Linked DNA regions of Schizosaccharomyces pombe. The gene in region 4 interacts genetically with the main gene of each other region. Each region holds a gene or a part of one and is shown on either strand. Other genes may lie near its edges.

Region 1 (8,921 bases), 1.6 Mb from region 4:
AAAAACGAAAAGTTTATAATCAGGTTCTTCAGGTAACAGCTAGTACATGGAGGTCATGGACAGGAGTGCTTTGAGCACAGACCGGTTGAATAGATATATTCACCCATAAGGAGTAACAATGTAACTCGACGTTCTCAACAAAATAAATCTAAATGAATGAATTGCTTATTTCAAGCTTGTTTAAACAAATTTCATCACTTAAAATTGTAGAGAAAACGGTGGATATCACTCACAAAAAATGCCTTTTTTTTTTGAAAATCGCGTTGTTAGTTAAAATGCCAGGAAGATGTAAGACACTCGGCAGCTCTGGCATAACAATTTAGAAAAATAAATAAGAATAATGATTAATTTTAACCAGCTTGACTTGTATGAATCTTTAGCAATCGAATAAGACTTCACGTACGACACATGTATAGCGAATCTAAATAGTCATCTTATAGGCATAACAAGTGATAAACGATCAGTAAAGTAATAAACTAATTCTGCAAGAAATAAAAGAAAATTTTAGTTTAATCCTGAAACAATTAAACTAATAACCTTTTTATGCGACGCCATTAGAACGCCTTCTAGATAAACATGGGATCAACTTGAACTTAGCAGAAGGCTTTGTTAACTATCTTTGACGTCTTCTTCTTCGTTAGAAGCAGAAAATACAGTCTCATAAAATCTTTCAGGGCCGCTGACACGAATCTGTTTTTGAATTAAGCTTGTAAGCCAGTCTTTAGGTTTGACTTGCGTTTCACTGTCTTGAACAAATCCAGATACCCGACGAAGTTCCGCAACCTGTGGACCATTAAACCATTCTACTAACGTTTTAACATCTTCTTCAGAGCCATTTAACAAACCAATTTCTTCCATTGCAAGACGCAGATCGCCCAAATCGCAACAGCTCCTCCTGCCAACTTCAGCTTTTGCCATAGCGGTTTCTGAAAGAAGTCTAATATACCGGATAGTAATATCAGTAAAAGAGTTTAATAATGAAACCTTCGTTCGGTCAATGCCAGCTGCGCGAAGTGTCTGAGAACAGAAAATCCTCATTAGCGAGAAATACAGCTCGTCAATTTGTGTTTCTTCCATCTCCGATAACTAGATAAATCGAACGATAGACTTATTAAAAGTCAAGTAATGTCTATACCAGCTCACAGTATAGTTTTTATGTTGCAGGGGACTTCCAACCTTTAAAGCTAGCTCATGGAATTGAATAAAGTGGAGACACAGCGCCTCGTTAGTCTTGCATAATGATACATACTACAAATTTTAAATAGATTTAATGGTTCACACAACATCGATATTGTATTTGTAAATTATCACATCGATTGAGACCCATTGAGCACAAAAACTCAAGTATCAATTTAATTACAAACCAAGTGTTTAAGAAGCCTTTATGCTGGAAATAAGACTGAAGTCGTCACAATAGAAACTGAGTTTGAATACTGAAATAATTTCATTTATTTCTCACGCTGGGAAGAACCACTATAAAAAAGGTGTTTTCGAAATTAGTGTGCCTACAGGTGGAAAACAGTTTTATTACTTACTCTACTATATTTCTTTCTTCCTGTTTCTTATCTAATGGCCTATCGAGACCGTACGGGTTTGTACATTACTTTTCGACAATCCTACTCTCATCATGGGCAACGATTGGAATTGTCGGGTTGGGACCCTAAAGAAGAACGGCAGAGTTTAGTCCATAAAGATAATAAAGATAACACTGTAATAGAGATGGACATGCTTGCCCCTAGATGGGTAACAGTTGAAGGAGAAATAGACAGTCTGCTGTTAAATACACGAAGAAATATTAATTTGCTTGATAAGCAATATGCTAAACATGTATTACCTAGCTTTTCCGACAAAACTGAGCAAGAGAATGAAATACAGAGATTAACCATTCAAATTACACAAGATTTCCAAAGGTGTCAGAAGCTTCTCCAAGTTACCAAAGCTCAAACAAACTCTGCAACAGGCTCAGAAGCTCTAATGGCTAAAAATTTCTTATCAAATTTAGCTAGCAGAATCCAAACTGAAAGTGCACAGTTTAGAAAAAAGCAATCTACTTATTTGAAGAGTATGTTATCCCGCGTTCTCCTTAACAAATGTACTGACCCCAAATTTTTTAGAACTTCGTGGTTTAAACGCCAACATATCTCCTGTAGAGTCAAAGCTCGACGAGACGGTATCCGACGTTGCAATTTCACAATCTACTATACAACAAGTTGCCTTAATGGAAGAACAAGGAGAAGACGAACAAGCTATACGACATGAAAGAGCTGTTGCCAAGATCGCTGAAGGCATTATTGAGCTAGCGCAGATGTTTCAAGACTTACAAGTGCTTGTTATTGAACAAGGAGCATTAGTAGATCGTATTGATTTCAATATTGAACAAACACAGGTTCATGCAAAATCTGCCGAAAAGGAGTTAATAAAAGCGGAGTCTCACCAAAAAAATACCGGGCGGCTTCGGTTTATATGTTTTCTAATACTTCTGATCGTTGCTTTAATTGTCATTTTGGCAATTAAACTGCTTCGGTAATTCATTTACCCTATTTCACTTTAATACCATGCTGCTAGTCATGAATGACCAATTTAATATTTTCTACGAAAAAGAAGGTTTTCTTTTTTTAATTTATGCTTAAATAAATCAGGTTTGTTTCTTTCTTTATTAAAAGACAACAGTTTTACATACAGATTAAATTTATGTACAATAAAACATCATTTTTTATAGTGAAATGATTAATAAAAATTTTCCCAAATCCAATAATGATACAATTTAGTTCACTTATTCTGTGAGTTCGCAGACGGTCTAGCTCTTGGAAGATGTTTTTTCTCTTTCTGAGCGCGTCTTCTTCTCTTTTTCTCAATGTATTTATCCAAAGCCTTTGTCCCTTCCATAGATTTATATTTATCCATCTGTATTAACTTCTTTTGTTCGTTCCTTTTCAAATAAAACGGTTTCTTCCCTTCTTTAACCCTTTCTTTTTCTTGAGCACGGAATTCATGCATGACACGTTCGGCCCTTTCCTCCTCGAGATGTCTCTCCATCTTAGAAAGTAAAGACTTTAAAGTTTGTCGAATACTCTCCGCCCGTTCTTGATCTTTGCAAATCTTCAATTCATCTCTTAATTGCTGGATTTCCGATACTCGGTATTCATTCAAAAAGCCGTAATTTTTTTTCACTTTATCTTTACTTAAGTTTCCCGATAAAGAGTCAAATCTGGGATCACGAGTAAATTTTTTTGGTTCAGATATTACTTCGCGAAAACGAGAAACTGGTTTTTTACTTGACAATTCTTGAGGGGCGTGTTTCTTTCTTTCGCCAAAAATTTTTTGTCAACTTTCTCAGTATGTTTCATATTTTTTCTGTCATTATCTTTGTTTTTTGCTGTTCTTTAAGCAGGTCCCTTTGAGCATTCAACAATGTATCAAACGGAATCTCAGCTAACTCTTCAAATTTGTGAGTAAATATTAATTAAGAAAATAAAAGAATTTTTAACATACGACTTTTAGCTGTTTTTGATTCGTTGTTTGAGTCTTCATCGTCTTCTGAATCTTCATTATTAAAGTTTTCAAATTCTTCTTCTGAGACCAATTCTTCGTCGCTATCTAGATCATCTTCGTAAACACCCGCATTAGCAAGAGTCCCATTTTCAAGTGAACTTGATTTCATTTTGGCGATTTGTGAATGTCTACTACATAAAAGTATAAAACCTCTCTACATAGAGTATTTACCGTAGCGCTAAATATAGCGTTAAATTTGTAAATGCTTTATACTATTTACTATTGAAAACTGCATATTGAAGCCTCGAAGGAACTTTGAAAATATTCGTAGTATGTATATATCATCAAAAGTTTGAATGCTTTATGAAAATTGAAAACGTTTTACGAAAGCTATTAGAAAATTGGTACAACATAAAAAAAAAATTTGGAATGGATCATGCCTATTAAATATTTTAAATAAATTTGAATGTTTCTATACGTAAAATATGACATTAGAAAAATTCATCTACATTTTCGTTCTCATTAGCGGGAGGATAATATTGAGGCAGCGGTCGAGTATGTACAAATTCTTCAGGTTCGTTGGAAACATAAGTGCTTGCACGCTGTAAGGAAGGAGGAACCACCGCTTGATTTCCAATAGTATGAGAACGGTTCCTCGTTCTTTGAGTTGTAAGCAGTGGTTTTTGTTTGTCAATGCAGTATTGACTGAAAGAGGCACCTGTGATAAAAGGATGATTTTTCGCCTGGTCAGGAGTCCATCTCTTCAAAGGATTTAACTCTAAAAACTGCTTTATGAAATCGATGAAACAAAGTCTCTCTTCATGTTCTTCAGGAGTAAGCTTAGGTGTGGTTTTTCGGCGAGGATAATTTAAAACAATAGCATCGAGTGTCTTTTCACCAAAATATTGTTTTCCAGGTTGCTCTGTTTTGTTGTTTTCGATAGAAAACTGTTCGATCGATTTAAGCTCATAAGTTTTTCTACCGTTTACAAAACCAGAATTGTAATATTTCTTCGAATTTTTACCCATTTCTAACATCCAAGTGGGAGGATTACCAAGCATGTCAACAATCCGACATAATTGATTATATTCGGAATTTCCAGGGAACAAGGGAAGACCTAAGAATAGTTCAGCTAAAATGCATCCCAAAGACCACATATCAATTCCACAGTTATAATGTAGTCCTAAAATTACTTCCGGACTGCGATAGAATCGCGATTGAATATAGGTATAAACTGTTTGGCGTTCGTGACAAGCACTACCAAAATCTATCACTTTCACAATCGGTGATGATAAATCCTGCAACAGGATATTTTCCGGCTTTAGATCACAATGTATGATTCGAGCTTGTTTGAGGAGAGATGTGCACGATAGAAGTTGCGTTGCGAAAGAACGAACAAGACTTAAATGTAAACCACGGAACTGATTTTGCTTGATAAGCTCATAAAGATTAATACTGAGTAACTCAAAAACGAGACACAAATGATTTTTATGCATAAATTGATCATATAAACGAATTAAATGGCGCTTGTCTTCTGGATCGTACTTATTGTTAAGGAGCTCTAGTATAGAAACCTCCATCACACATTGGTTATAAAATGCCGGCTTATTTTTGATAACTTTAATAGCTACAATTTGTTGGGTTTTAAGATCTTGGCATCTAGCAACTTGACCAAATGTGCCATGCCCCAGGGTGTCGAGAATCAAATATTTACGGCCTTCATCCGTTCCTAGCAAATCGTTAACATACAATACATAATCATGATTGACGTTATCAAAACCATGGTTGTGAACTCCTTCACTGGGTTTGGTGAGTGGTCTCCGAGGGTTTTGTTCGGAAGAAAACTGGAATTTTGGATTACAAATTGAATATGTATCAGCTAGTTTCACAGTCATTGCTTCTAAGGGCTATATGTTTAATTAGTAAAATGCAGAGCAAGTAAAAAATTTCGTACGCTAATATAGCTTCCATGGGGAGACACCCTTCTGTAATTGTATTTCTTGGTTGCCGGTTTGACAGGAGCAAACAAAGTTGTTCCAGAAGACGAGACATGACGAGCATGATTATTACGCTGCGAGTGATCATGAGTCCTCGCAGCAGGAGGATTGTTCGATAATGGAAGAATGGGCGAATCCGAATCCATATGAATAGAGACGCCTTTTTGTAAAGTATTGCAAAGAATATATCAGTATAGGCAGAATACGAGTGCCTTCATTCACACTCGAATCACTTTAAAGTAACGTAAAATAGTGATCTCTTGGAACGTGAGTCGATGCACAACAGTGCAAAAAGGAACCACAAGTTATACTATTTACAAAGTAGTAGTTGACAGATTAACCAAAGGAATCTAAAAAAGAAGTGCTTTAAAGGAAAAAAGTCAAAGAGTTTGAAATGAACGCACCAACCGGCTAATCAATTTAATGGAACAACTGACAAAGAGCTAGTTTCGCTTACGATAATCTCGATCTGGAACAAAGGGAAACACTTGTGGATATGAAGCTTAAAATATGAATTTGGAGGAATCTTCTAATTTTCTTGTTTATAGCGTGTAGCTACAAATACAAATATAATATTCGGCAGAAAATCGAAAATATTCACTAAAATAAGCCGATAAATATGCACAGTGCGAGTTGAACGAATAACTAATCAACTCCACCGTATAAATTACAAATTTATACGAAAAACAACACTGAGAGATTTCGCAATTTATTGAAAGATGAAGGATTTAACCAAAAAAAGCGGCTTGGTTAAAGGATAGAGAGGAATCTGAAGGAAAGGGATGACGACACACCGCTTTGTAGTGAGCCGCGTGTAACGGCGCTGACGATGACTGAAATAAAGTACAATTGCTTGCTATGCCTTAATCAGTTTTACTGATTTTCAATCTATTACGTAATAGAGTGTATCAATGAATTAAAAGGCCGTCATTAAAACTTTGGCTTGCAAAAAAATACAAGAAAAAGTTACTAGAAGAGGATCTTTTGATTCTTATATTATTAAATAGTTGGATCTTAGATCCCAATTAAATAATTAAATATTGTTTCAGGTTTCCGTGACATGACTTAAGAAGGCGATAATTTCGCTTACATTAAGGTTCCTGCTCTTACTCTCCACAACGAAATCAATTCGTATTTGAAAAGACGAATGAATTTGGTGCAAAACATCCGTCTATACCAATAACCGCGATAAATAAGAAACAACTTCCATTGAAAGGCTTATTCGAAACATCAAGCGCAATGTTTACCAATAGTACGCATCCTTAATTCAGAATAGTAGCAATTTTTCGAAAAAACGGATATTCTCCATACTTAGTATATTTGGATGTTGCACAACCATGTAACCGGTTGGATATTAAAAGGAGGAAAAACGTTTCTTGTTTGGCATCTATCTGTAAATGAAGGAGTCGTTGTTAAAACATTCTCCACGCCGACTACATTCGTACATAAAAATTTTCGCATAAACGACAAACGAAATGGTTCCTAGTCCAATGTTCACACAAAAATCTGTAGTGAATGGACGAATATTGGTTATTGACTTCAAACATCTAAGGAAACATAAATAGACGCAAGATATCAGAATCGAACTAGCTTATATGTAAAAATGTTCCTACCAACTAATGCTCCTACGTACTTCGCATGACACTAGATAACATAAATATTTCAAATTTTAGATCGCTAACAAAAATTACAAAGCACAATGATATTCATGAAAGATATATGTTGTTTAGCTTTGAACCTTTATTGAAACTGGGAGTTCATTTTATTTATGAAACAACCATACAACGTTATGAAGTAATATTTTTCTGAATCCAAAGCTGAAGACGTTTAGTCCGTGAAATTCAAACATCCATTTACAATTGTGGTACCAAAAAGTTTCCCAGTCTGGATTTCAAGATGGCTACAGAAACTGCAAATACGCCAAGACTCACGAAAATGGAAGAGTTTTCCTTATTGACGACTAAAAGATGTTAAATTAATAGTTTTACAGGGACATACCCTTTTTGAAAATATCTTTTTGAGCAGAAATGCGATCCATTTTTGACTAAGTGGTTGAAGGAACGTGGCTAAATACCGACTTGTAACGTAATTTAACATGACTGTGATCGCTGCCATAAACAGTGATCAGGTAAAATGTATGGCTTCAATAACCCTAATTGATAACCCTAAGAGCTAGCTGTATGGATTTTGTTTTGCAGTAGAGGAAACATTCTATACTGCAATAGTTTTTTAAGACAAAACGCTTTATATTTAGTTTACTTGGTCTTACGAAATAATCAAGAGTAGCGCTGCGGAAACAAATTTTTTCCTTTAAAATTTTCCATAATCATTATCTTTTTTAGTATTTTTTCATTTTTTTTTCGGGGGAGGGGTTAGAATAATTTAATTCATTTTCTTAACAAATGTACATCTCAAGAGCATCAATATTTAGACAATTAAAACTTTCAATAAATAAACGATTATTTTTTTCGGATTATTAATTGCTAAGCAGATAATTGCTTGCGACAAGGAAGCAAAGTGAGTATACACTTGGTTAGATGGAAAATATAATCACTTCCTCATAATTAAATTGTTCAGCGTATTTCATTCATCAAAAGTAATTCTATAAACAACCTGACGCTGATTATGTACAGTTTTTGTCCCGCAACTGCGTTAATGATTTCTGAGTGTATTTGTGATACGAAATTGCTTATAAAGAATCATGACATTCTATCAAGTCAAAATCGATAAACCCCATGCTTCTTAGTTTTCTAAACTTTCATTGCCGACAGTTTTGGATAAATTTATTAAATAACAAATTACGTTAATCCACTTTAACGGACACAAAATATTATTAACGATAACATACCTCTTTCAAAAAGGTGGAAGGGGGTCCTCACCCTTCCTTTGACTGCTGCACGAAAAAAAACTTGCCAACCACCAACATGTCGAGATTCTTCAAGGGAGGCTCTAGCGACAGCGATGCAGAATCCGTTGACTCCTCTGAAGAAAACCGTTTAACCTCTTCAAGGTTGAAGAAACAAGATGACTCTTCATCTGAAGAAGAATCAAGTGAAGAGGAAAGCGCATCCAGTTCGGAGTCCGAATCATCTGAAGAAGAGTCTGAAAGCGAAGAGTCAGAAGTAGAGGTTCCCAAGAAAAAGGCCGTGGCTGCTTCCGAAGACTCTGAATCTGACTCTGAAAGCTCAGAAGAGGAAGAAGAGACTGAATCCGAAGAGGATAGCGAAGTTTCTGATGAATCTGAGTCCGAGTCTGAGTCCGAGTCTGAGTCTGAGGAGGAATCTGAATCTGAAGAGGAATCTGATGAATCTGAACGTTCTGGCCCTTCTAGTTTCTTAAAGAAACCCGAAAAAGAAGAGGCCAAACCCGCTGGTCTTAAGTTTCTCCGTGGTGAAAGCAGCGAGGAAAGTAGTGATGAGGAAGAGGGTCGTC
Region 2 (7,597 bases), 320 kb from region 4:
AGATTAAGGCTCATTTAAACTTAAATTGAGTAATATTTTCTTAATGTTTTTACATTTATCAGTAAGTGCTCCTTCGAAATGCCTTGTCCAGCTCATTGAAATTCATGGGTCATACCTTCAAAGGCTGAAGTATGAAATCAGGAAGGATTCACTGAAATAAAGAAGTCTTTCTGATGTCTGATTTGAGTATACGATAAACAAATGTGAATGTGCAGATATGAACAGTATAAACCATAGAAAGCCATGTCAAAGCCGAGGAGATACAGATGTTCTACATAGATTTGCAGACAATCCTCCTAGATATTCTATGAGAAAGGAGAGGAAACCTTGGTTTTGCAGCTTCTATATGGAAAGTACAGAGGGGTTGTCTTGCTTAACCAAAGTAAGAAAGAGGCAATCAGAGAAGATAGCCTACAGAAAATTATAATTCTCAATCAATTTATTTAAGGTAAAAACCTCTTATACTTCTGATTCTTTTAGTGCTGCTATTTAATCTGTAATTATACATTATGTCTCCATGTTTGACCAGACTGAACAATTCACAATTTAGTAGGATCTCAAATGTTATTCGGGAAATAGTTGATGGTATTGAACTATAGGATATTAATAAAGTTGTCACGTGTAGACGTATATTAACTTGTCAAAGATTGTTTGAACATTGTGAATAGCAAAATGGATTAGTTATTACAGTAGGCTTTTCAGTAGGTACACACGACGTAGACATATGTTTTAATAGATATTTTCCATCAAAAAGAATTAGGTCTATTAACACGCTCTTTTCTAATAGACCTCTTAAATGTCATTCACTTGAAGTTTGTACTTGTAAATCAAAACATTGGAAACCTGATAAATTGGACAGTTAATTAATTAATTATTCAATCCTTTTCATTATAGAAAACGTTTTTTCTGAATCTTTTTTGCTATAGTATACGCTGTGTTAGAATATGATTCAATTACTTAATAACGACTATATTTTGTAACAATAACTATAAATAATAAGAGTCATATTACTATAAGTATGTTATGTCGAAGGAAAATTACAAACAGTTTTACTTGATTGCAAAGGTGGACTATATATCTGAGACAATTAACTCTTAATGTATCATTTACCAGATATGGAGGAAACTGTAAATAAAATATTGCGAGCTCAAGAAACGAGAGCTCAGTTATACAAAGAACTGGAGGAGTAAGTATTTTCAAAGATATATAAATAAAATAGGTCTAACAAAGGTAGTGCTCTCAATGCAAATCAAGAGAAAAAAATTGGACTTGAGCAAATGGGCATAATTGTTCAACTGGTGACTGAAGGTTTAAATGAAGTTTCTTCTGATATTCGAAACTATCAAGCATCTCTTACTAAGGAGCTTAAACTATTGGTGGATTCTTTACAGGAAAAAGAGCGCTCTAAGCTACAAGCGGTAAATTTTTTTTCATAAATCTTTCTATGCAAGTTACTTACAATGTATAATATTTGCAGACCGTCAAACTTGAGCAGTTAAAAGTTGTTTCTACTAATTCACCAGTTGAGAATACGCAAATTTCAGAATTGGAAGCTAGGTAAATTGAAAATTGAATTATCCAGATATAACTAACAAATAATTATTAGACTTTCTTCACTTTCTAAAGAAATCAACGATATCTTACAAAATATGAAGGATGAAATATGAAGAAAATTGGTTTAATTACTATGGCATATCCAAGTTTTCTCTTTAGCAAGAGTAACATTATGAAGTATGATTCTGAATTTTCTTAAATTTAGAGAAAGTAAAAATTCTACATTAGAAATTTAGGGGACAGTCAGTTCAAAGGTCTCCTTTCTAATCATACTTGTAATTGAGATTGTAACATTCAGTGCAAAAGAAAAAAATGTTATTCGCGTTTTGAGCAAACCGGCAAGGTATGAATAGTATTCTTCAAGCCTTTAAATGTCAAAAACCCATCAATTTTAATTCCACCTGGTTGTTCGAAAACTAATTTCTTAGAGTTATCTTTAACACGTGCTTGAACTGTATTCCCTAGTTTAATTGAATTTGGAGGTGTTCTTTCTAAACCCGGAATTAACTACAATGACTGTCTCAAAATATATTTTCCCATATTAATAGCTTCCAATGTATTTACAGCTTTACCCTTTCGTCGAAGTCTTTGACAATAGAAATGCGAAGGAATAAATCGCTTGAGTAAGTAACTTATCATAGTTCAATTCACCTTATTGTTACATTGCAGTAAAATTGTTTTTGTTTTCTAAGTACACCTTACTTATCATCTAAAAATGGTGAGCAAGCATACGATGCATGCATTCAACTCTAGAAACTTAAACTACATATAAAACTAAAAGGTAACGTAATGGGTGAGAAGGCTGGAAAGCGTTCGAGTCTACCCTCACTTAGACTTAATTTTGTCGGACCACTCAAGCCATGAGCCAGTGTAGTTTCCAATACTAAAAGGTTAGTTTTTGAACACTGTTCTCGAAATTAAGTGGAATTGTTCACCTATACAAACATACTTTTTATAGCCGAGTTTGGTGAGAATGTCAGAAGCGGTCGTACTTCTTCTACCAGAGCGACAGTAAACTACAACGTTGTCCTCAAAAACGGGTTTGCTGAATCCATAAGTCTTGGAAAACTCCTCGTCACTAAGTTTCATGGCTTCCTCGATTTTTCCAACAGGTAAATTATAAGAAGTTTCGATTGCACCTTGCTTAAATTCATCGGGCTCACGAACGTCTGACATGTTAGCAGAATAAGTTTTAACTCACTATTGTATTGTCCTTACCAATTAAAACGGTGGATTTGTCGCCAGTTGGTCTTTTACTAAGGTTATAAACCTATTTCAAGTTAGTACCGTTAATAATTCCAAAATACTTGGAGAGTAGAGTAGCGAAGTGTAAAACTTAGCTTTAACCAGAAAACATCGCATATGAAAGCAAACGTATTCCTATGTTGGTTTACCTTTTCGAAATCAAAGATGCTGACATTCTTAACTACTGTAGAACTGTAGAAAGAGCGGGTCATCAGGAGGCGAGATACGGAAAGAGTTTTAGAAAACATTATGGGTGAAAACAAGGTTTATTACAGCTAGATGGCCCCTTTCAGCAGGCAGGTTAAATCTCAGATTCCCACAGTTGACGGTAGTGGTATAAGCGTGATCGGTGAGTAGTATGATTATATGAACGATCGCTATTACGAAATCGGCAGGTTTGAAGTGTTATAGGGGCTTGTGTTCAGAGGAATCAATAAATGAAATGGATCTTTGTATTTTCGAGATTTTTCAATAATATTTTTCTTTTTTAAAACGGTAGTTTTTAAAGTTACTATTCAAGAAAAGAGCGATTCATCCATCGGGAAAAATGAAGTTGCCGCATTTTCTATGTTTCACTTTTAAACAATTACATATTCAGTATATAAGTTCATAGAATAGAACTGTACGTACGTCTTTGGCACAGTTCTTTAAAATTGCGGATCTTTAATTGTGTATATTACTATATGGAGGTAGCATATGGATTTACCAAAAAGCATTTTATGGATAATTTGTTATTCATAAAATTATGTTTGTTGGAAATACACTGACAGAAACAAGCACTCTAATTTTCAATTGAGCTACAGTTGTTTGTTTTATCATTAGGAGAAAACAGGAATTCATACGACGCTGATTTATATAGATGTATACGTAAGTTTATTTATTTATTTTTTCTCGTCGGGCCTGAAATGCACTGTACTGTAATGTCATGGCATGCTTCAATGCTAATGTAATAGGAAAAAAATCACAGTACACAAATTTTTATGAGTGCTGATATTCTCGCAATGGAGAAACGCTAGGTTTAACGTAAGCATGATGTTTAAATTTGCCAGTACAATTAGAAAACAGGTTGTAAGTCCACCTTTGATATTAGGTCACAGTTCAAATCACTTTTGATTGTATTGCACATGATATTACGTTTACTAAGATTTCGCATCAATTTTAATATTGCAAGTTCTAAGGTAGCAGCATATTATTGAAAATTGAAATTTCAAATGGAAAAGTGATTCACATGCGTCCATTAAAATATAAAAAATAAAAAAAGAAATTTATATCTAGAATAAATTATTGTTTCTTTTAGCGGCAGAAAAACTAGTAGTAAAAATTTTATGCCAATAAATAAATATATAAAATAATGAACCTAAATAATCATATTGGCAATGTTTTCCAATTCAATCATCCGAAATGAATGATTGCAATGGATGAAGGAAAATAAAAACTTGTAAAAATGAAGGTCAGTAAGATTCAGTGTTTAAGATACCTCTCTGGTTTACAATCTTTTATGGACAAATATATGAACGGTTAATTCGATACAGTTCATCTGTTTCACTCGAATACTCAATATAATTTATTTACAATTCACCCATTAAATTAATATTTACCTTATTCATTCGCTTTCATTAATTTCATTCATTCACTTAGTCCCTTATTGTACCAACCTTGTCGCTCGGTACCGAATACAACAGTCGGCGGTTGATCATAGCTAACTAGTGCTAATAGCTAATTTCCTTAAGCAGACTTTTAATCCAACTGTGAATACCAATTACGTACTGTTTTGATTTAGTTAATATTTTCTTCCTCTTTTTTTTTTGCGCTTTTTTTCCATCGAAATCAAATATTATGAAGAATGACTTACTTCATAATTGCGATACCCGAAAACATCACTGATAAAGAGGGGATATCATATTAAAGAGTGAATACCGGTTAGGTCTTAGTTGATTCTTTGGATGTTGGATTGAGGTTTAGCTTGAAATGATGGTTGTCTTTCGTTTCAATTCACCTTTACAACATTTAATTTTTTTTTTAATGATCCATGATCACAATGCCATAATTTACGAAATCCTGGATTACGAGACTCCTGATCGAGCCGCAACTGCTGAATACAAGCGAACCTTGAATCGCAGGCGGATGAAGTATAAAGTTAACTCATATCAATTAAAGAGATTGCAAAGCGGCGGAACACCGTTCCCACGCTTCTAGTACTATGCGGAATGAATAAAAATATTAGGCGGAATGAATAGATTGTCGAGAATGGATTTCTCTCTCGAAATTACGTTCATTTCCTATACATCAGGGGATTATGACATAGAAACGTAAATGGATGTTCTCCGACAAAAAATAAAAAAAATATATTATATATAGAGATAGACGTGCGCCTTAATATATTTCCAATTTACTACGACTGACTAACTAACTAAATAACTGCGACTTTATTAAAAAAACATTAATAAAATGGATCCTGTTCCTAGCACACAAACTCAAAAATGGCCTGGCAAGCATGCCGACTTAGATCCTGAACCATCACTTCTCAGATATTGTGATGGACGGGTACATGTCGGATCAGGGAAACTTGCAGAGAAAAAGACATTGCTCACAGGAGGAGACTCTGGTATTGGTAAAGCAGCAGCGGTGATGTTTGCCAGAGAGGGATCTGATCTCGTTATATCATGCCTTCCAGAAGAAAGAGACGATGCAGAAGTTACGAGAGATTTAATTGAACGTGAAGGAAGAAATTGTTGGATATGGGAGGGAAAACTTGACAAGTCTGATAACTGTAGGGATTTGGTTGATTTTGCTCTAAAGAAGCTGGGTTGGATCGATGTATTGGTGAACAACATCGCATATCAACAGGTCGCTCAATCCATTGAAGATATCGACGATGAACAATGGGATCTCACTTTTAAAACGAACATCTTCTCCTTTTTCTGGGTCACCAAGGCCGCTATTTCGCATATGAAGAGCGGAAGTTCAATTGTCAATTGTTCCAGCATCAACGCTTATGTAGGACGACCTGATTTACTAGACTACACATCCACTAAGGGTGCCATTACCGCATTTACTCGGGGGTTGAGCAATCAATATGCGCAGCATGGTATTCGTGTGAATGCCGTTGCTCCTGGTCCCATCTACACACCTCTCGTTAGCTCCACATTTCCCAAGGAGAAGATTGAACTTTCTGACCAAGTTCCTCTTGGACGTATGGGACAGCCTGTTGAGGTTGCTTCTTGCTACCTTTTCCTTGCATGCTCAGATGGTGGTTACATGACAGGCCAAACTCTTCATCCTAACGGTGGAACTGTGATTAACAATTAAATTTTAAAGGAAGACGACGTTCATTTACTGTCGTCTATTACTTTTTTGGTTTGAAATGAATAATGCAGCAATTTAATTTTGCTGATCCGGATGATTGTTGAAGTTGTACTTTCATATACTTTTGAGATGTTCATTCTCATGAAGACAATGCATGATTTATGATAGCTATTTTGGTTCCAGTATATGGAAATGGATGAACAGTGAAGAAACCTTTTAATTTCCTCTATCTTTGCTTTCATAGCATGAAGAATGTTTATGATTTTATTTATACCTTTAGAATTACGGATATCTACGGTTATACACTGTAAACAGTGACTAACTAAAAATATTTTTTTGTCCTTAAGCTATTGTAAAACAAGTTTGTATGGTTCATAAATCATCTCTTATTTAGGCATTTAAATACTTGTATGAACTCCTTGAAATGCATTTGTGCAGGTAGGAAATCCATTCAAAATTTACATAGATACTCTTTTTCAACTGAGGAAAATATTATTATTTCCTTCCCCCTGCTTTGTAATTAATTCACTCTTCGTTGCTCTTTCATTAAAGACTAACTAACTTAGTATGAATCATTTGATTAAAAAAAAGTTGGAATACCAAATTGTTATTTTCTTCATATACTGCCATACACGTGCTTGTCAAAATGGTAGAAACAGAGTAACTAGAGAAGCATGAGTCATTTTCCAAGACAATGAGAGTAGAGTGTTGAAAAATATTTAACTATTCTACAAAAAATGATGACTAAAGTAAAATTAAATAGTTACTATACTCAAACATTTAATATTCTTAAATTTCAAATTTCAAATACCCAGTTAACGTGTTGTAACGAATCCTTATCTCATTCTTAGCCTACCCATTCGTATTCTAATACAATTGTGGGACATCATCATCTTTGTCATCTACCACCTATTAAAAGATAATAGCGGAAATTGCAAATTCATTGTTAAGTGCTTTGCTAGTTGTTTAGAAATAAAATGCTTTCCCGTTTTTCTTCCCAGTTGCGCTTTATTTCCGCAGTTAGGCCGGTGATTCCCAAATTTCAACCTTTGCGATTTTATAGCGTTGCTCGCCCTGATGCTGAAAAACGAATCCTTAAAGTTGTTTCTTCCTTTGACAAAATTCAGGACCCTAAAAAGGTATGTTTTGCATTCATTCAGTTGTTTTTTTTCACTCTATGTGTAATTTTGGATCTTAACATTTTTGTTATTTCCAATTTCAAGACTCATTGTAAAAGTCGTCGGCTTGAATTTACGAAAAAATTTTTTAGGTTAATGTTATCTTTGTTTTTTCTCTTTACCCCTATGCATTCTCTCTAACCATTCAGGTCACACCTACATCAACATTTGCGAATGACTTGGGTCTTGATTCTTTAGATGCTGTCGAGGTCGTTATGGCTATCGAAGAAGAATTTAGCATTCAAATTCCTGATAAGGATGCAGATGAAATTACTTCAGTCGGGGATGCCATCTCGTATATTACAAAAAACCCC
Region 3 (9,422 bases), on a different chromosome or scaffold from region 4:
CATTGGCAAGCGTGTTTCCATTATGTTTTGGACTATTGTTTATTTGATTGGTATTATTCTTCAAGTTACCGCTGTCCCATCTTGGGTCCAAATCATGGTTGCTAAGATTTGGACTGGTCTTGCCATTGGTGCCTTGTCTGTGCTTGCCCCCGGTTTCCAATCTGAGGTTGCTCCCGCTACCCTTCGTGGTACCATTGTCACCACCTATCAATTGGCTGTCACTGGTGGTATTTTCATTGCCGCTTGTATCAACATGGGTACTCACAAGTTGCACAAGACTGCTCAATGGCGTGTATCCATGGGTATTAACTTGCTTTGGGGTATTATCATGTTCATCGGTATTTCTTTCCTTCCTGAATCCCCTCGTTATTTGATTGCTATTGGTAAAGATGAAGAGGCTCTTGACATTATGTGCAAAAACAACGTTCTTCCTCGTGAACACGAAATTATTCAAACGGAATACCATGTCATTAAAACTGACTGTGAAGCTGAAATGGCCGGTGGTCCCGCTACTTGGGGTGACATTCTAGGTGCGGATATTCGTTATCGTACCTTCCTTGGTCTTGGTGTCATGTCTCTTCAACAACTTACCGGTGATAACTACTACTTCTACTATGGTTTCGAGGTGTTTGAGGGTACTGGTATGAACTCTCCTTATCTTTCTGCTTTGATTCTTGATGCCGTTAACTTTGGATGTACGTTTGGTGGTCTTTTCGTCCTAGAGTTCTTTGGTCGTCGTATGCCATTGATTATTGGTGGTGTTTGGCAATCCATTACTTTCTTCATTTACGCAGCTGTTGGTAATCGTGCTCTTACTCGTAAGAATGGTACCTCAAACCATCGTGCCGGTGCCGTTATGATTGTGTTCTCATGTCTTTTCATTTTCAGTTTTGCTCAAACTTGGGGTCCTGCCGCATACGTTATCGTTGGTGAATCGTATCCCATTCGTTATCGTTCCAAGTGTGCTGCCGTCGCTACCACTGGTAACTGGTTGTGGGGTTTCCTTATTACTTTCTTTACTCCCTTCATTAGTGACTCCATTGGATTCAAGTATGGTTATATTTTCGCTGCCTGTAATTTGTGTGCTGCTTGTATTATTTTCTTGTTTGCCCATGAAACCAAAGGTCTTACCTTGGAAGAGATTAACGAACTGTATCTCTCCGGCGCTAAGCCCTGGATGCCTAGGCCCGAGAATCTCGGACAAGCTGCAAAGCAACAACAAGAGGTTCTTGAAAAATCTCGTGGTGTTCAAGGTGAAAGTGCCGCTCATCTTGAAAACGTTGACAATGAGGGTATGGAGGATACTTCGAGTAACGACATTACATCTTCTACCTCTTCTTCTGAAGGCCGTGCTAAGCCTGAGTCTAACTATGTTGATGAACAAGATCGCTACGCATAAGTTTGTTGACCGAAAATGGCAATGCTTTCGGTTTACACGAATCGGTAGTTTTTAAATGTTATTTCTTTTTAATGAGTATGTGTTTTTTGCTGATTCATCCTTCATTAAAATCGAATTGTATAATTGGATTTTGGCTGTGCCAACTTTGAGAGTTATTTTTTATTTGCATTTCCTTTGTCGTTGTTATTCAAACTGTTCCGTCCTTTCTGTTAGAGATATTAATATTAAGTTGGTGTGCATGCTTTTTAACTGGTAATGTTTTTATGAGTGGCCCGGTCCTTATTACTATGGAAAGGCGTTGATGAGGAACTGGCAGGGATTGCATTATAATTTTAATAATAATGTAAACAGATAATTTAGTTAAATGCTGATAGTTTTTTCGTTAAGGATTAACAAAAATTAAACAGTTCCTTATTTCTAATGTGCTATTACATATCGTTTTGTGTATTGCGAATTGTAGACATTGAGTAGAAAGGTATGCTGAACAGTAAATAAGCGTAGTATCTAATTGTTGATATGTTATTTAATCCTTGAATGTTTTTGAATAGCATTCGTTCAATTTATTTACCTGGTTAGAACGATGCAAAAAAAGGTTTCCGGTAAGTAATCAACGATATTTACGAGTTAAGTCGGGAGACGTTCAATTCTACTTAGAGTGAAACATTGAAAGCTATGGTTGAAAATATTATACTTAAAACTATACGTGAAATGCCATCGGTGCGTATCTGTGAATAATCCTCATAAAAATCCAAGCTACAAGAAAACGCTATTAGCCATGCTTGTTGAACGCAATCGCATTTTGTAACGTTAAATAAATTTACATATGCCCGAGATTACACTGACTACAAGTCACTAAATGATATTTATGATAATACCAGAAGAATTTGATAATGCAGTTGTAAACCGCTGCATTGCAATACGCAGAGTATTTGCCATCTACAAGAAATATATAAAGTACAAATCAATGGTTGATTTGCTTTGAAGAATTTGCATATAATTCGTTTTTTTAAAGGATTTTATTTAAACTTATTATTTTGATAAAGCTTTCTCTCCGGATTAGAAACGTTAGAGCTCACATACCAAGTTCAATAGTAATTTATCTGTCTGGGCGCAATGGTTAAACGCAGTTCTCATCGCCAAGTAGTTTTGGATGAAGACGATGAAGAAAATTATAATAATAACTTGGACGATGAGAAAATGGAGGTTCTATTAATTCCACAATCCAACAGCACAACTTTTGCGTCTAGTGATGCAACTCAAATGTACAAAAAGTCTCGCATTAGCAGTAATTCAGAAAATAAAAAACAAATCCCCGATACAAAAACTTTGCTCGAAACGTTCCAGAAAATAAAAAAAACTCTGGAATGTCCCATTTGCACAGAAGCTTTACAAAGACCTTTTACCACTCATTGCGGTCATACATATTGTTACGAGGTAAGTGAAAATTTGATGCTTAACACTGGAATAACTTTTCATTATCATTGAATTCCCTCATTGTGAGTGAAATATTGAAAGAGCAAGATTATATCTTTAAAAGTTTCTAGATTTACTTTTTTTCTATAAAGGATTGAAACTAATAAATAGTGTCTTCTAAATTGGTTAAAAGAGTCAAAATCTTGCCCAACTTGTCGCCAAAAACTGTATACACAACCTTCACCAGCATATCTTGTATATGAAATAATGAATGTGGTTGCTGCCTCAAACAGTGGCTTCCCACTTGTGGGAATCAATGAAAATCCAGCAAAGAAGCAAAAGGAGGTATTGTTTGATGGGATGTTTAAACAAGAAGATTCTCATTACCCAAGAAGTATCCTTGTTGATTCTGAAGATGGAGTTTTACGATGCGCTCGTTGCCAATGGGAATTGGAAAATCCGTACCATTGCGATCATTGCGGTTTTCAAATATCGGATGACCAAGATTCTGGTCGTGAATGGTTTTGGGATGGAGAAAATGCTGAGAGTGATTCCAGCCTAAATGGCGATAACACCCGTGGTGGGAATATCTCGACTAACCGCGCATTTAATAATATGGGACATGCGCCAATAACTGCAGTACCACAAGATTGGCTGAGATTTGACGAAGGAGAAGAATTTGTGGGGTCTGATTTAGAATCTGATTTTTCTGGTCCAGGTGAGTACGATGTTGATGATGGATTTATAGATAATCGTGCTACAAGCCAATTATCTCCTGTCGAAAGTGACGATGACTTCGTAGCTCCTGTCAATGGAAGTAATGGAAATGGTATTACTGCTTTGGATAGCACAGATAGTGAAGAGATTGATATTATGAACGGCTTCGATGAAGAGCGCGACTCTGGAGGGACGAATATGGTATCTCGATCTGAGACCTGTTATAACGATGGGCAAAGATACGATGAGTTACGAAGAGAGCTTGCTGACATTCAGAATGAAAGTTTGGATTCTCTCAATTCTTCCTCAAATAATTCTCCTTCTCATAACAATATTCATTCCAGGCAACATCCATTCTCATCAGATGAGGATGAAGGAAATATTGTAACTAATGGAACAGGCCTCCGTAGTTCACAATCATCCAGCCAGAATAGAGGATTTGATCTTGAACCCTATTCCGAGGTATTCACTGCAAGCTATCCACGTCGGCAAGCTCGGCGAACTCGTACAATACAACTAGACTCTGACGAAGAATCATAATTACTCAACTCTAACGAAGAAAAAATTATACCGAGAAATCAAGTAACCTTAACCTGGTCTATGGTTTCTGTTCATGATGAATGATTTAATTGTGATTTGGATTTTGGGTCTCTAGAGCATAAGACACTAAAATTTAGCATACATGTCGGATTTATGACTAAAAAAAAAAATTCAATACTAATGATATTTGTGCATGTTTGTTTTGTCTTATAATTATACCTGCCATTTAACCTCCTAGTTGATACAATTAGTTTTAAATATTATAAAAAAAATGCTAAATATTGTTTTACCGTGTAACGTTGAGACGAATACAACTTCGTCACCTTCTTCGAGGTTATATTCTTCCTTTTCAAGAAGTTCCCAATCCTGGTCATTTACTAAGACGATGATCCCCGGACGTCTGCAGGGAAGTGTTAGTTCTGCAAAATCATTTAAAACATCGTTTGAGCCTGAAAAAGATGATACCACTCCATGTTCACTTACACAGTCCCATTTAAAATAAATAAATCTTTTTGAGAAGGCTTTTCTATTATTTGAGCCATATAATCAATCAATGATCCCAACTTAGTTGAGCCAAGGTTTGAAAGTGACAACGACAACGCTTTCTGCTTATTGAAGAGCAAGTCAAGCCCACCTCTACAATAATAGGTTACCAATTGTAATAAAATATGACACCTACAGTAACTCTACTTTTATAGCCATTGTTTTTTAAAACTTTGGGGATTCGTGAAAGCAACGCAAAATGTACGTTCTAACTGTATATTCCACTGTAGTTGTTAAAGAGTGATAGAAATTCAGTGTCATGTCAGCTACGCAGTTTGGTATCTGTTTAGCGTGTTTTATGACTCACTACGTTATGTATCATTATATGTCACACGCTAACCACCGTATTATGAATACCCGTTGATAACAACTGCTGACTCGATTCCTCAGTTTAGTTATTAGATATATTGGTATTCGATACTATTAGACTTCTTATAACAATAAATATAATATTGTTAGTTAACAGGGCGCATACCGCTATATTGAAATTACTAAAAACCTCACCGCAGTTCTACGTATCCGTAAATCAGATACCAAACTGCGTAGCTTACATTTAAGGAAAGCTAAGTTGGGGTGAATAAAAAAGGCAGTGACAAAATAAATGTGTCAGAAGCAATCCACTGCCTCGTTCAGTTTTTTCGTTCTTCTTTTTTTATGCCATTGTTTGAAGGAATTAGTTGGAAATTTGTTTGAACAATTTTATTATTTTGTTAAAAAGTCTTTAAAGTGGTTGGAATTGGACTACAGAGTGAATATTCTTGATTTCGCTGTTTCGTTTGTCGCAATCACAACAATTGAACTATTTGTGTGTATATCATTCAATAATAGATTGTTTCTAAGAAATGAAGAATAAAGATTATCCCTTGAGGTCGTCTATGGATGAATTGAGTACAAAAAACGATAATGAAATTGATTTGGAAAAAGGTCCTCTCCCAGAATACAATTCAGAAGATGGGAGCACATTGCCTCCATATTCAGGTAAGTGTTGTGTTGTTGGTGGATAAGATAAAGAATTGAGTGTGTCAAGGATTATTTGCTGTGTCTGTTTGTTTTGATTTACAATGTTTTTGTTGTATTTGTTTGTTTACAACTTGACATATTACGAGCATAAATTCGTCTAACAGGGCACACACTTTCTTCCTTCTACATCATTTTAAAAAAAAAAAACCAAATTTCAAAAGTTATTTATTTTATTAATGCTTTCAGAAATTTGGAAATATATTAAAACTGTATCTGAGGATTCAAGTACAGGACCTACAGAAATTGCAAATCCCAATGTCGAAAGAAGACAAGAATTCAAAGATTCACATCCAAATATATATTCCCTTCTGAGACTACTAATATCAGTTCTTGCAGTTATTGTTGTCTTTTTTACTGCATGGGTTTGTGTAAACCCGTTGGAGAAGTCGATATTCGGCAAGGTAGCTTTCTCCGTCACAATTGGTATAACATGTCCAATAGTGTTTATTGTTATTTTCTGTAAGCTATGCATGAAGTTGTTAATATGTCCATTCACTAACTCATTAGGCTTCTTTGAAACTTGGACCCAGGCAGTGGCACAATGTATAAAGGTGACTGTAATTTTCTTGGCACAATGTGTAAAGGTGACTGCAGTTTTCTTGGCAAAATGTGTAAAGGTAATTGCGGTCGGTTTGTATAACTCAAAAAAAGATTTGGTGGTTACAATCTGGCTCGCATGGGTAGTCATTTGTTTTATACTCTTTGGTTGCGTCAAGGATGGTAGACTAAACTTAAATAAGGCACTCATCTGTTCCACATGCAGTATTTCGGCTGCTTTATTTTTCATTTTATTGCTTGGTAAGTGAAATTATCTTGCTAAACGCTAACATACAGTTTGTATTCCAATTTGGACACTCAAGCATATGCTTTTTGGTTTGTTTCAAGTGCTGGGTGTACAAAGTTGTGTCGTTATTGTAACGAAAGGTTTGATGTATTTATTTGATAAACATATCGACGCGACAGGCTACGAAATTGAAGCCTCTTCACTCTTTGTTATAGGAAATTTTCTTTTCTTTTACGAAATGGGTTCGTTATATATTCCTGTAATTTACTCTAACCATACCAGAACGTCCAGGTGCTCTCAAAAGGATGCCCAAATTTATCGGGAATGGTATAGCTTCTTTCCTAGGTATGTGTATTCAACCAACTGTATGAATGATTTTTTACTTACCCGACTAGGAGGTTTAGGAAATGCATTTGGAGGGATAGGAAATGCATTTGGAGGGATAGGAAATGCAATTGGGCGGATAGGAAATGCGTTTAGAGGTGCCAACGATAATAATGACATTCCCTTGGGAGAAATGGATGTTGAAAGCGAAGTCTAATTGCTTTATTAATGTGGTTGTCGCTCCAGTTGGAAAACCTCTTTACCAAAATCACCAACGCAGAGAAGCTGCGGCGTTTTTTAAAAATAAGCACCAACATACTTTAATTATTCTCTTGCCTTATAAGTTTGTGAGATATAAGCTTAACTCATTCTTTCAATTACCAAAAATTGCCAACCAATGCATTCTACGATGTTGGATAATGTGCATTGAGGACCGAAGTCTTTATTTATTATGTATGCGAGTCTAATTATGTGTCTTTTTTAATGATACTCTACGCTACAAACAATAATGGTTTAACTTGTTTACGACAACTTAAAATCAACTAATGAAATCGGAAAACTCGTTGTTCCGCCTTGTTAAATTCACAATTTCATTTTCGTTTATTGCATTCATTTCTCCTTCATCTTGATTCTTAATGAATCAAGCTTAATTATCATTTTTTCCATTTGTTTAATGGTTTACTTTAATACAAACAAATTTCAATGTTTACGAAATAATGAATAGCATAATAAAATATTGTGACTCAGAACGATGATTTGTTATCGTAATAACCTAAAGACATATTGCAATAGTGAGTATGTAATAACGCAGTAAACGTATATACTGGTTTTATGTTGAGTTTCTTAATGATGCATAAGGAAATCTAAGTTGGGGTGAATAAGAAGGGCAGTGACAAAATAAATGTGTCAGAAGCAATTACATTTTGAAAATGAGTTTTGGAATTTTACTTTTCACTTGCTATTATTGAAAAAACAGTTTGCTTTGAAACGACTATTGCTCATTTATTTATGTTGAACGGCGGGAACTGAACTCCAGAGTGAATATTCTTGATTTTGCTGTTTCGTTTGTCGCAATCATAGCAATTAATTCGCGCATGTGTTTTGTTAAATAAAGAATTATCTTGATGAAACGAAGAATAATTACACTTCCTTGAAAAGTTCTATAGATGAAGAAGATGAATTGAAGACAGATCATGAAATTGATTTGGAAAAAGGACCCCTCCCAGAATATGATTCAGAGGAGGAAAGTACATTGCCTCCATATTCAGGTAAGAATTGTAAATAATAAGAAAGGAATTATTCAATTGAAAGTTGAAGCTTGCCATCGTAGTCAAATTGCATGCTTTGGTCATTGTTTACAGTTGGCCATGCAATGCACACACTTTGATACATGCTTTTTCTTAACTAAAGTCTTTCAATCATATTAATTTAAACAGATCATGCACGTTTAAGCAATTCTCCTAACACACATAGAGAAAACAATCCTTCCAGGTCGACAGATAATTCTTCCCCTTTGTTGATAAAACTGCTAATATCATTCACTTCAATCATTCTATTCAATGCTCCAGCAGTTTGTTATCTAAAGTATAAGGACGCTTTTTTTAAAAATTATGGTGCAGCGGAATGGACATTATTTGGATTTTGGTGTCTTGTTTGCACTTTGGCTTTAATATTCTTGACTTGTAAGTGAGACGATGGGGTTATTCTTACCTTCAGTCACTAACTCATTAGACTTCTATGAAATTTGGACCAAGGCAGTTAAAGTAACTGTAATTTTCTTGGCACAATGTGTCAAGGCTTGCGGAAAAGGAATCAAGCACTTTTTAAAGAAGTGGAGAAACATGTTTTTTGCTTTTTGTAAAAGTTCTATTTTTTGCTTGGTTTTATTAAAAGGTGTAAACAAATTGAGTTCACATTTAGGTGATCAACAATGGGGATGGAAATGCTCGGCATCCGCTTTCACTTTCATGGCTGTATCAAGCATTCTCATATTCATTGCTGAAACAGGTTTGTTGTTTACTAAACAAAATTAATACTGACAACATAGTGGAACCGGGATCTTGCTCTACGCATTTACTGACCAGACTTGCAACAACTTGCGGTAAAGATGATAAAAAGAAGTGTACTTTAAATGTGTTTACTAATTATTTTTAGATCGTGATGCCAGACAACACGTGAATGAATACACTGCTATTCCGTTACGTGAGATGAACCCTGAAAATGAAGCCTAATTATATTGCTAACTTTACTATTGATTTATAAAGGCGCTTTTCTCACGAAACTTCTCTACAAGAATGTGCAATGGAAAGAAGCATCTATATAATTGTGATTTACCAAACAAATCATGATGTGTTTAGAGTATTTCAGATGTATTTTTATTGCATGATTTCATTTCCTGACGAAATGGATGAGCAAGTGCATTGCTTGAAAGATTCTGCGATGTTGGATAACATACACTGGGAATTGAATATTAAAATAATGGTTTTATTTATTCGTTTTAAAATAGCAGTTCACTAATTGACTGTTATCATCAACTAATGAAATTGGAAAACTCGCTGTTCCTCCTTGTTGTATTCACAATTTCATTGTCGTTTATTGCATTCATTTCTCTTTCATCCTGATTCTTAATGAATCAAGCTTAATCATCATTTTTTCTTCTGTTTACTGGTTCAATTCAAACAA
Region 4 (5,963 bases):
TCTAGGTACTTTTTATATTTTTTTTACAAGTTTTCAATTTTAGATTTAGCATACCTAACTAAGGAAATTTATACCGATCAAACATGCGTCCTCGTCAAAGATTTCGTCGTTTTCATCCTCGTTGGTCAAAAGTTAACCTTCGAGGCTTCGGTGGTGTCGGCGCTTTGAAAGGTGTTAAGGCCCTAAATGGAATGAACGTACGCGTTTCCATGAGATTAAAATGGATCTCAAATCGTATCCATCGCATTCGCAGGAGTCGCCGCTTGGGGCGCCTTTCTATAAGTGTCCGTCCTAATGGTTCCTGGCAGGTATATTTATTAAGCTCTCTTCCATTAAGGAGCCTTTCTCGTGTCTGGGGACAATTTAACAGAGCTCATTTACCTACTTTTTTGCGTACACCCGGATTTAAACTATATGCTTGGGTTTTTGGATGCAATTTAAGCGAATTGAAGGATCCTGATTTGACTCATTACCGTAATTTTCAAGATTTCTTTTGCCGTGAGCTTCGTCCAGAGACTAGACCCGTTGATCCTGTTTCTCCTGTCGTATCACCGGTAGATGGCCGTATCGTTTGTCAGGGAGTTGTCGATAATAATCGAATTCAGCATGTCAAAGGTCTTTCTTACTCTCTTGAAGCTCTTTTAGGAGGTATATCAAGTTCGAATCCTTTAGTCGTCAACTTTGAGGATGAAATAACTCCTGATCTTATTCAAAAGCACGAGCAATTTGCTGAACAACACTCAATTTCCTTAAATTCTAATAACCGCTATCGTAAAGCTGATGCTTCAGCTGCCGTTGTGGATGAACATTCTGACGAGGAAGCACTTCTTTGTGCTTTTACTGACCATCCGCATTTTTATCTTAATGACTCTCGTAATTCCTTAAATTATTTCTGTCCCTTTTCTGCCTTTGAAGATATTTCAAATTCCGTTCGTAGCTCATGCGGAAAACGACTCTCTCCCTCAAGCAATTTCGATCTGAATAACCTTGGAGGTGACGATGACTTGAGGAGTGAGTCATCTAGTGATTTTGAATCTGCTCCTGCTTCAATTCTTGAACACGAACCAACTAACTGGGATGATTGGGTACAAGAAGCTGACGTTACGGACATTGACTCATTACCTTGGCACAATATCCGTCCTGGCAATAAGCTGTTTTACTCTGTGATTTACTTAGCACCAGGTGACTATCATAGATTTCACTCTCCTGCTGATTGGGTTATTGAATCTAGGCGTCACTTTTCAGGTGAACTCTTTAGTGTTTCTCCATTTTTGGCGCGAAGACTACACAACCTTTTTGTGTTGAATGAACGCGTAGCATTATTGGGTCGTTACGAACATGGATTTATGAGTATGATTCCTGTAGGTGCAACCAATGTGGGTAGCATTGTCATTAATTGTGATCCTACTTTATCTACCAATCGCCTCGTCTTACGGAAGAAGTCATTAGGTACGTTTCAAGAAGCAGTTTACAAGAACGCTTCTCCTGTTTTAGACGGTATGCCAGTTAGTCGTGGCGAACAAGTTGGTGGGTTTCAACTCGGAAGTACCGTTGTTTTGGTATTCGAAGCACCTGCCGACTTTGAGTTTTCCACTTATCAAGGCCAATATGTTCGTGTTGGAGAGGCCCTCTAAACAGGATAAATCGGGATAATTTTTATTAATCGCTGGATTATCCCTGATATAAGTTATTGTTAGTATGAGAATGTGTGTATTCTAAATAATCATTTGTATGTGATGAATTAATTAAATTAACCCATTTGCTTTTGATCTTCTTTTTATTTAAATTGATATTGCGTTTATAAACCCATAATTATAGTTACTATTTACTTAATTACATTCCAATTTAAAGAATTGACACCCAATAAATTTATTTTATTGATACACCTTTAAAGTAGTAATGAAAATGTTTAAAAATAAGTATGGTTAGCTTGTTTTGACATAAGGTGGCATGTCTTCTTTTCAAAATTCGTAATTGATAATCATTACATATATACTAATATTTTGTTTATTCACAATCCAAAATTTGGACCTTAAAATTCATTAATAGATTGCTTTTAGATTAGAATATGAAATTGGAAGATGGTAGACGACTTAACGGACAAGAATTACTCTTTGGAAACATTTTGGACATTATAATAAAGGGCTCTGAATCCAAATACTTCTTGATTTGCGTGATAAACTTCATGAAGGTTTGAATCATCAACAGACCAGCCTAAGCTGGCAAATTTATTAACAGTTGGCAATAACAAGGGCTCAATTGAATCTTTCAAAACATTATTAAGAACTTCCAAATCTTTGGTTGTTCTTTGAGATGAAGGACTTGTGAGCCATACAGAGCAACGAGTCGATACCAAATCGTGAAGTGTCGGAATCCACGATGAAGAATAAAGTGGATGACTTATAAGAGGCATCGGAAGAAAAAAAGTATCATAGTAGGGGTCAAAAGGCTCAAAGGCTCCAACTCTATGCAAATTGTGGTAGTAATCCTGATGAAAATGAAGGCTGAGTGGGGAAGGCAAATTGGGTTGCTTAGAAGGAACAACAACTTCAGGTCCGATAAAATGCAATTGAAATAAACGACCTGGGAACAAAAAGTTCAATCCTTGTAACCAAATTGATGGTGGTAATGAACATTCTTTGGTAGCACCCAAAACGAAAATTCTAGTGGGTCTGGGATCAGTAGATTGAGCAGACAAAGGACGATGAAGCATATATCGTAGAGCAGTTAATGATTGTAGACCCTGGGGAGTTAACCCATTTTTTAAATTATAAGGAGAATTCTTGTGAAGGATAGCGCCGATTGACATGGGATATGTTAATAAACTAGTAATATGTCTAGCAGTTCTAGACGATTGGAACTTTGGGAAATCGCGGGTATAGAAGAATGAATCCCATGACAGAAGAGAAACTACTTCATCTTCTTCCATGGGTCCAGGAAGTTTGAGTAGTTCCGGCAAAGGGTTTGGTCGTGCTAAGTCATGATAGTCTTCATTAATTTGGCGTAGTTTTGGGATAAGGGATTGGTGAATCTTGTCCTGTTCCCAATGAGTTCTATTACAATGAGTAGGAAATCCAGATTCAGGACACTCATATTCCACTGACTTTCCCGAAATTGGACACCGATAGACTTGTTTGATATGCTCAGAGCGACGGCGAAGAGCCGTTAAGGGAGAACGCGATAAAGGATGGAATAATTCATGAGTTGGGGATTTCTTCTTGAAGAGATTTTTTAAAAACGACATAAGTAAAAAAAATATAAGCGAAACGTCACTCTTGAACCAAAAAACAACCTTCTACCGGTTTCAATGTAACTATAGGTAATGAAATAAATTTTTATGTCGGTGTTGCAGCTAAATTTAACAAGTATTGATTTAGGTGAACGTGTTTAGTAGCAGACGAAGAAACTAAAATTAAAAATGTCAAGGAACATAAAAAATACGTTAACAAGGCAAACTATTGAAATGCTTAGTAAAAAAAATTAACAAATTAGTTCGTAGAAGCAATTGCTTTGTTCATTAGCAACCGACATTCAGTAGCGAATTTTATTCTTTAAAAAAATATTAAGTATTGAGTTGACTCAACAAAGAGGTGATTTTCAATAATGTTGATATTAAAGAACTATCTAGTAAATCAATTGCATAACGGGAAATGCACTTTCTTTATTGGAAGTCTACAATGCAACTATAAGGAATACGAATCATCTCGAAAGTAGCTGTGTTAATCTAAGCTTCTATAATTTTCATTGCTCGTAATGTAAAGTGAACTCAATATTTTAGTAACAGTTCCAGCTGGCCCAACAAGACTGCAAACTGACCATACAGAATCCCAAAGCTGTTGTACTAATGAGCAACTAAAAATATATCTGATAAATTCTCAATGTTACATAGATGATTTATAACTTTACTGCGAAAATGTCTGCCTCTTATGACAAGCAAGTCATTAATTATCAGAGCCTTGCGAACCTATTCGTCTGCCACCTGACCTCGTCAAAGGCAGTAATTAAATTGGCAATATAATTCAGGCAAGATTTTTCAATTTTCTAAAATCCTTCGAATGCCCGCCTCCAAATATGCTGGATGGTCTCGAGACCAGCTAATATCCAGAATTTTAGAATTGGACGGGAAATTGCAAAAAAATACAAATTCACTTCCCAATAAAGAAATTGAGGGGAAAAATGAAGTAATTAAAAATAAAAACAAATTGGATAATGGAAATGAAATAGAACCCCAGCATCTGAGCCAAGAACTAGTTTTGCAACATGCGCTTCAGGACGCAAGTAGTCTTCCAAAACTGAAACCTGTCAGACCGTTTCAACTAGAAAAAACAGTTTTTGTTGCTTTTAAATTTGCCTATTGTGGTTGGAATTACAATGGTCTTGCCTACCAGTTAGAACCGACTCCTTTGCCCACTGTTGAAGGAAAGGTGTTTGAAGCGCTGTTGAGAGCTCATCTCATCACTGATCCTTCATCATGTTCCTTTAGTCGATGTGGACGTACTGATAAGGGAGTTTCAGCCATGGGTCAGGTTATATCATTAAATGTACGACATTCAGAAAGAAGACCTATCATATATTGTGATGTATTGAATCGCCTGTTGCCCGCAGATATACGTATTACTGGCTATGCATTTCCACCAGAAGGCTTTGATGCTCGATTTTCCTGTAAACAGCGTCATTATAAATACTTGTTTACTAAGGATTATCCCGGTGGTTCTCTTGACATTGATCGAATGAATGAAGCCGCAGCACTTTATCTAGGTGAGCATGACTTTCGAAATTTTTGCAAAATAGATGCTTCTAAACAAATTACAAATTATCACCGTCGAATTCTCAGTTCAAAGGTTATTTGCATTGATCCCAGTACCGGTCTTTACGCTTTTGACCTACAAGGAACTGCATTTTTATGGCATCAGGTACGATGTATGATGGCCATTCTATTTTTAATTGGTCAAAAGCTTGAGCCGGCCTCTCTCATCAATGATCTTTTGGATATTAAAAAGGTCCCTACTAAGCCAATTTATGATATGGCAAGTGAGTATCCTTTGATTTTGTACGACTGTGACTTTGATAATATTGAATGGACACTACCTACGGATAGTCCTACGACTGCTCCTCGTATCGCTAAACATACATATGAAACCATATATCATCAGTGGCATAGTCTACGTATTCGAGAGCAGATAGCTTCGTTTATGCTTGACATAGCAGATCATAATGTAAAAAGATATGGCAAATCGGAAGAGTCAAGCAGTACTATGAACGTTGGTGAAGGATTGCTGAAGCGAACAAAAAAGTACATCCCAATTCTTTCTAGACAACGTCAGGAATCAGTGGAGGTCGTCAATGAAAGATATAAACGTAAAAAAGGTTTAAAAGACAGTGACGTGAAGAGTGAAAATATTAAATAGATTGTCTTATGACAGAACAGGTTTTAGGTTAATTGCTAATTTTATTTTGGTCCAAAATATATTATCAATTTTAGTATAACCTTCTTAAATAATTAGTTGTAAGTAAGACTTATGATGTACTAAAATTATTTTGCTTTAAAAAGGTATTCCTTGTGTATGTAAGGGACAAGGGTTTCCGGAACTTTAACAGTGCCATCCTCTTGTTGGTGATTTTCAAGGATAGCTATTATTAACCTAGGGATGGCAGCTGCTGTGCCGTTCAGTGTGTGAACAAAACCCGAGTCTTTGTCATTTCGATATCGTGTGAGTAGACGCCTAGCTTGGTATTCAAGACAATTAGATGCTGAAGTTATCTCCCCGTATGATTGTCGCGCTGGCATCCACGCTTCGATGTCATATTTTTGAGAGGCCGAAGATCCCAATTCCGCAGTTGGCATATTCAAAATTCTATATTCGTTAGCATTAGATCATTAAAGTGGTATTTTTGTTAGATTTGATATGTACCTTGCGGGTATTTTTAAAGTTTCTACAAACTCTTTTTGAAAATTAACAATC

Evidence for each region.
Region 1: mutations in deg1 (region 4) and ppk15 together harm fitness less than expected from each alone (positive genetic interaction), as found in Schizosaccharomyces pombe (one large-scale study listed by BioGRID).
Region 2: mutations in deg1 (region 4) and rdl2 together harm fitness more than expected from each alone (negative genetic interaction), as found in Schizosaccharomyces pombe (one large-scale study listed by BioGRID).
Region 3: mutations in deg1 (region 4) and urm1 together harm fitness more than expected from each alone (negative genetic interaction), as found in Schizosaccharomyces pombe (one large-scale study listed by BioGRID).

The regions. Positions count from the first base shown.
Region 1 is NC_003424.3:2,582,469-2,591,389, reverse strand, and holds ppk15 (serine/threonine protein kinase Ppk15), read right to left. Parts: upstream 6,218-8,921; 5' UTR 5,636-6,217; coding exon 5,447-5,635; intron 5,400-5,446; coding exon 3,984-5,399; 3' UTR 3,916-3,983; downstream 1-3,915. Other genes in the region: transcription factor TFIID complex subunit Taf3, read right to left, coding at 610-1,077; SNARE protein Tlg2, read left to right, coding at 1,570-2,062, 2,115-2,527; tom6 (uncharacterized protein), read right to left, coding at 7,343-7,449, 7,488-7,527; tif303 (translation initiation factor eIF3c), read left to right, coding at 8,414-8,921.
Region 2 is NC_003424.3:3,836,334-3,843,930, forward strand, and holds rdl2 (thiosulfate sulfurtransferase Rdl2), read right to left. Parts: upstream 3,138-7,597; 5' UTR 3,048-3,137; coding exon 2,949-3,047; exon of another isoform or gene 2,825-2,948; coding exon 2,773-2,824; exon of another isoform or gene 2,724-2,772; coding exon 2,504-2,723; exon of another isoform or gene 2,438-2,503; coding exon 2,380-2,437; 3' UTR 2,327-2,379; downstream 1-2,326. Other genes in the region: SPOM_SPAC4H3.06 (uncharacterized protein), read left to right, coding at 1,116-1,186, 1,235-1,418, 1,478-1,557, 1,607-1,667; SPOM_SPAC4H3.08 (3-hydroxyacyl-CoA dehydrogenase), read left to right, coding at 5,248-6,108; SPOM_SPAC4H3.09 (type II fatty acid synthase subunit), read left to right, coding at 7,083-7,244, 7,433-7,597.
Region 3 is NC_003421.2:218,734-228,155, reverse strand, and holds urm1 (ubiquitin-like protein modifier Urm1), read right to left. Parts: upstream 4,823-9,422; 5' UTR 4,772-4,822; coding exon 4,749-4,771; exon of another isoform or gene 4,706-4,748; coding exon 4,553-4,705; exon of another isoform or gene 4,470-4,552; coding exon 4,360-4,469; exon of another isoform or gene 4,304-4,359; coding exon 4,296-4,303; 3' UTR 4,070-4,295; coding exon of another isoform or gene 2,984-4,069; 3' UTR 2,834-2,983; coding exon of another isoform or gene 2,513-2,833; 3' UTR 2,397-2,512; downstream 1-2,396. Other genes in the region: hexose transporter Ght8, read left to right, coding at 1-1,399; ubiquitin-protein ligase E3 Dbl5, read left to right, coding at 2,513-2,833, 2,984-4,069; wtf meiotic drive antidote Wtf4, read left to right, coding at 5,455-5,590, 5,819-6,091, 6,140-6,430, 6,467-6,658, 6,699-6,761, 6,812-6,957. UniProt on the Schizosaccharomyces pombe protein: Acts as a sulfur carrier required for 2-thiolation of mcm(5)S(2)U at tRNA wobble positions of cytosolic tRNA(Lys), tRNA(Glu) and tRNA(Gln).
Region 4 is NC_003424.3:4,158,745-4,164,707, forward strand, and holds deg1 (tRNA-pseudouridine synthase), read left to right. Parts: upstream 1-3,974; 5' UTR 3,975-4,055; coding exon 4,056-5,408; 3' UTR 5,409-5,463; downstream 5,464-5,963. Other genes in the region: phosphatidylserine decarboxylase Psd2, read left to right, coding at 84-1,634; splicing suppressor Mss51, read right to left, coding at 2,108-3,244; dia4 (serine--tRNA (Ser) ligase), read right to left, coding at 5,534-5,855, 5,913-5,963.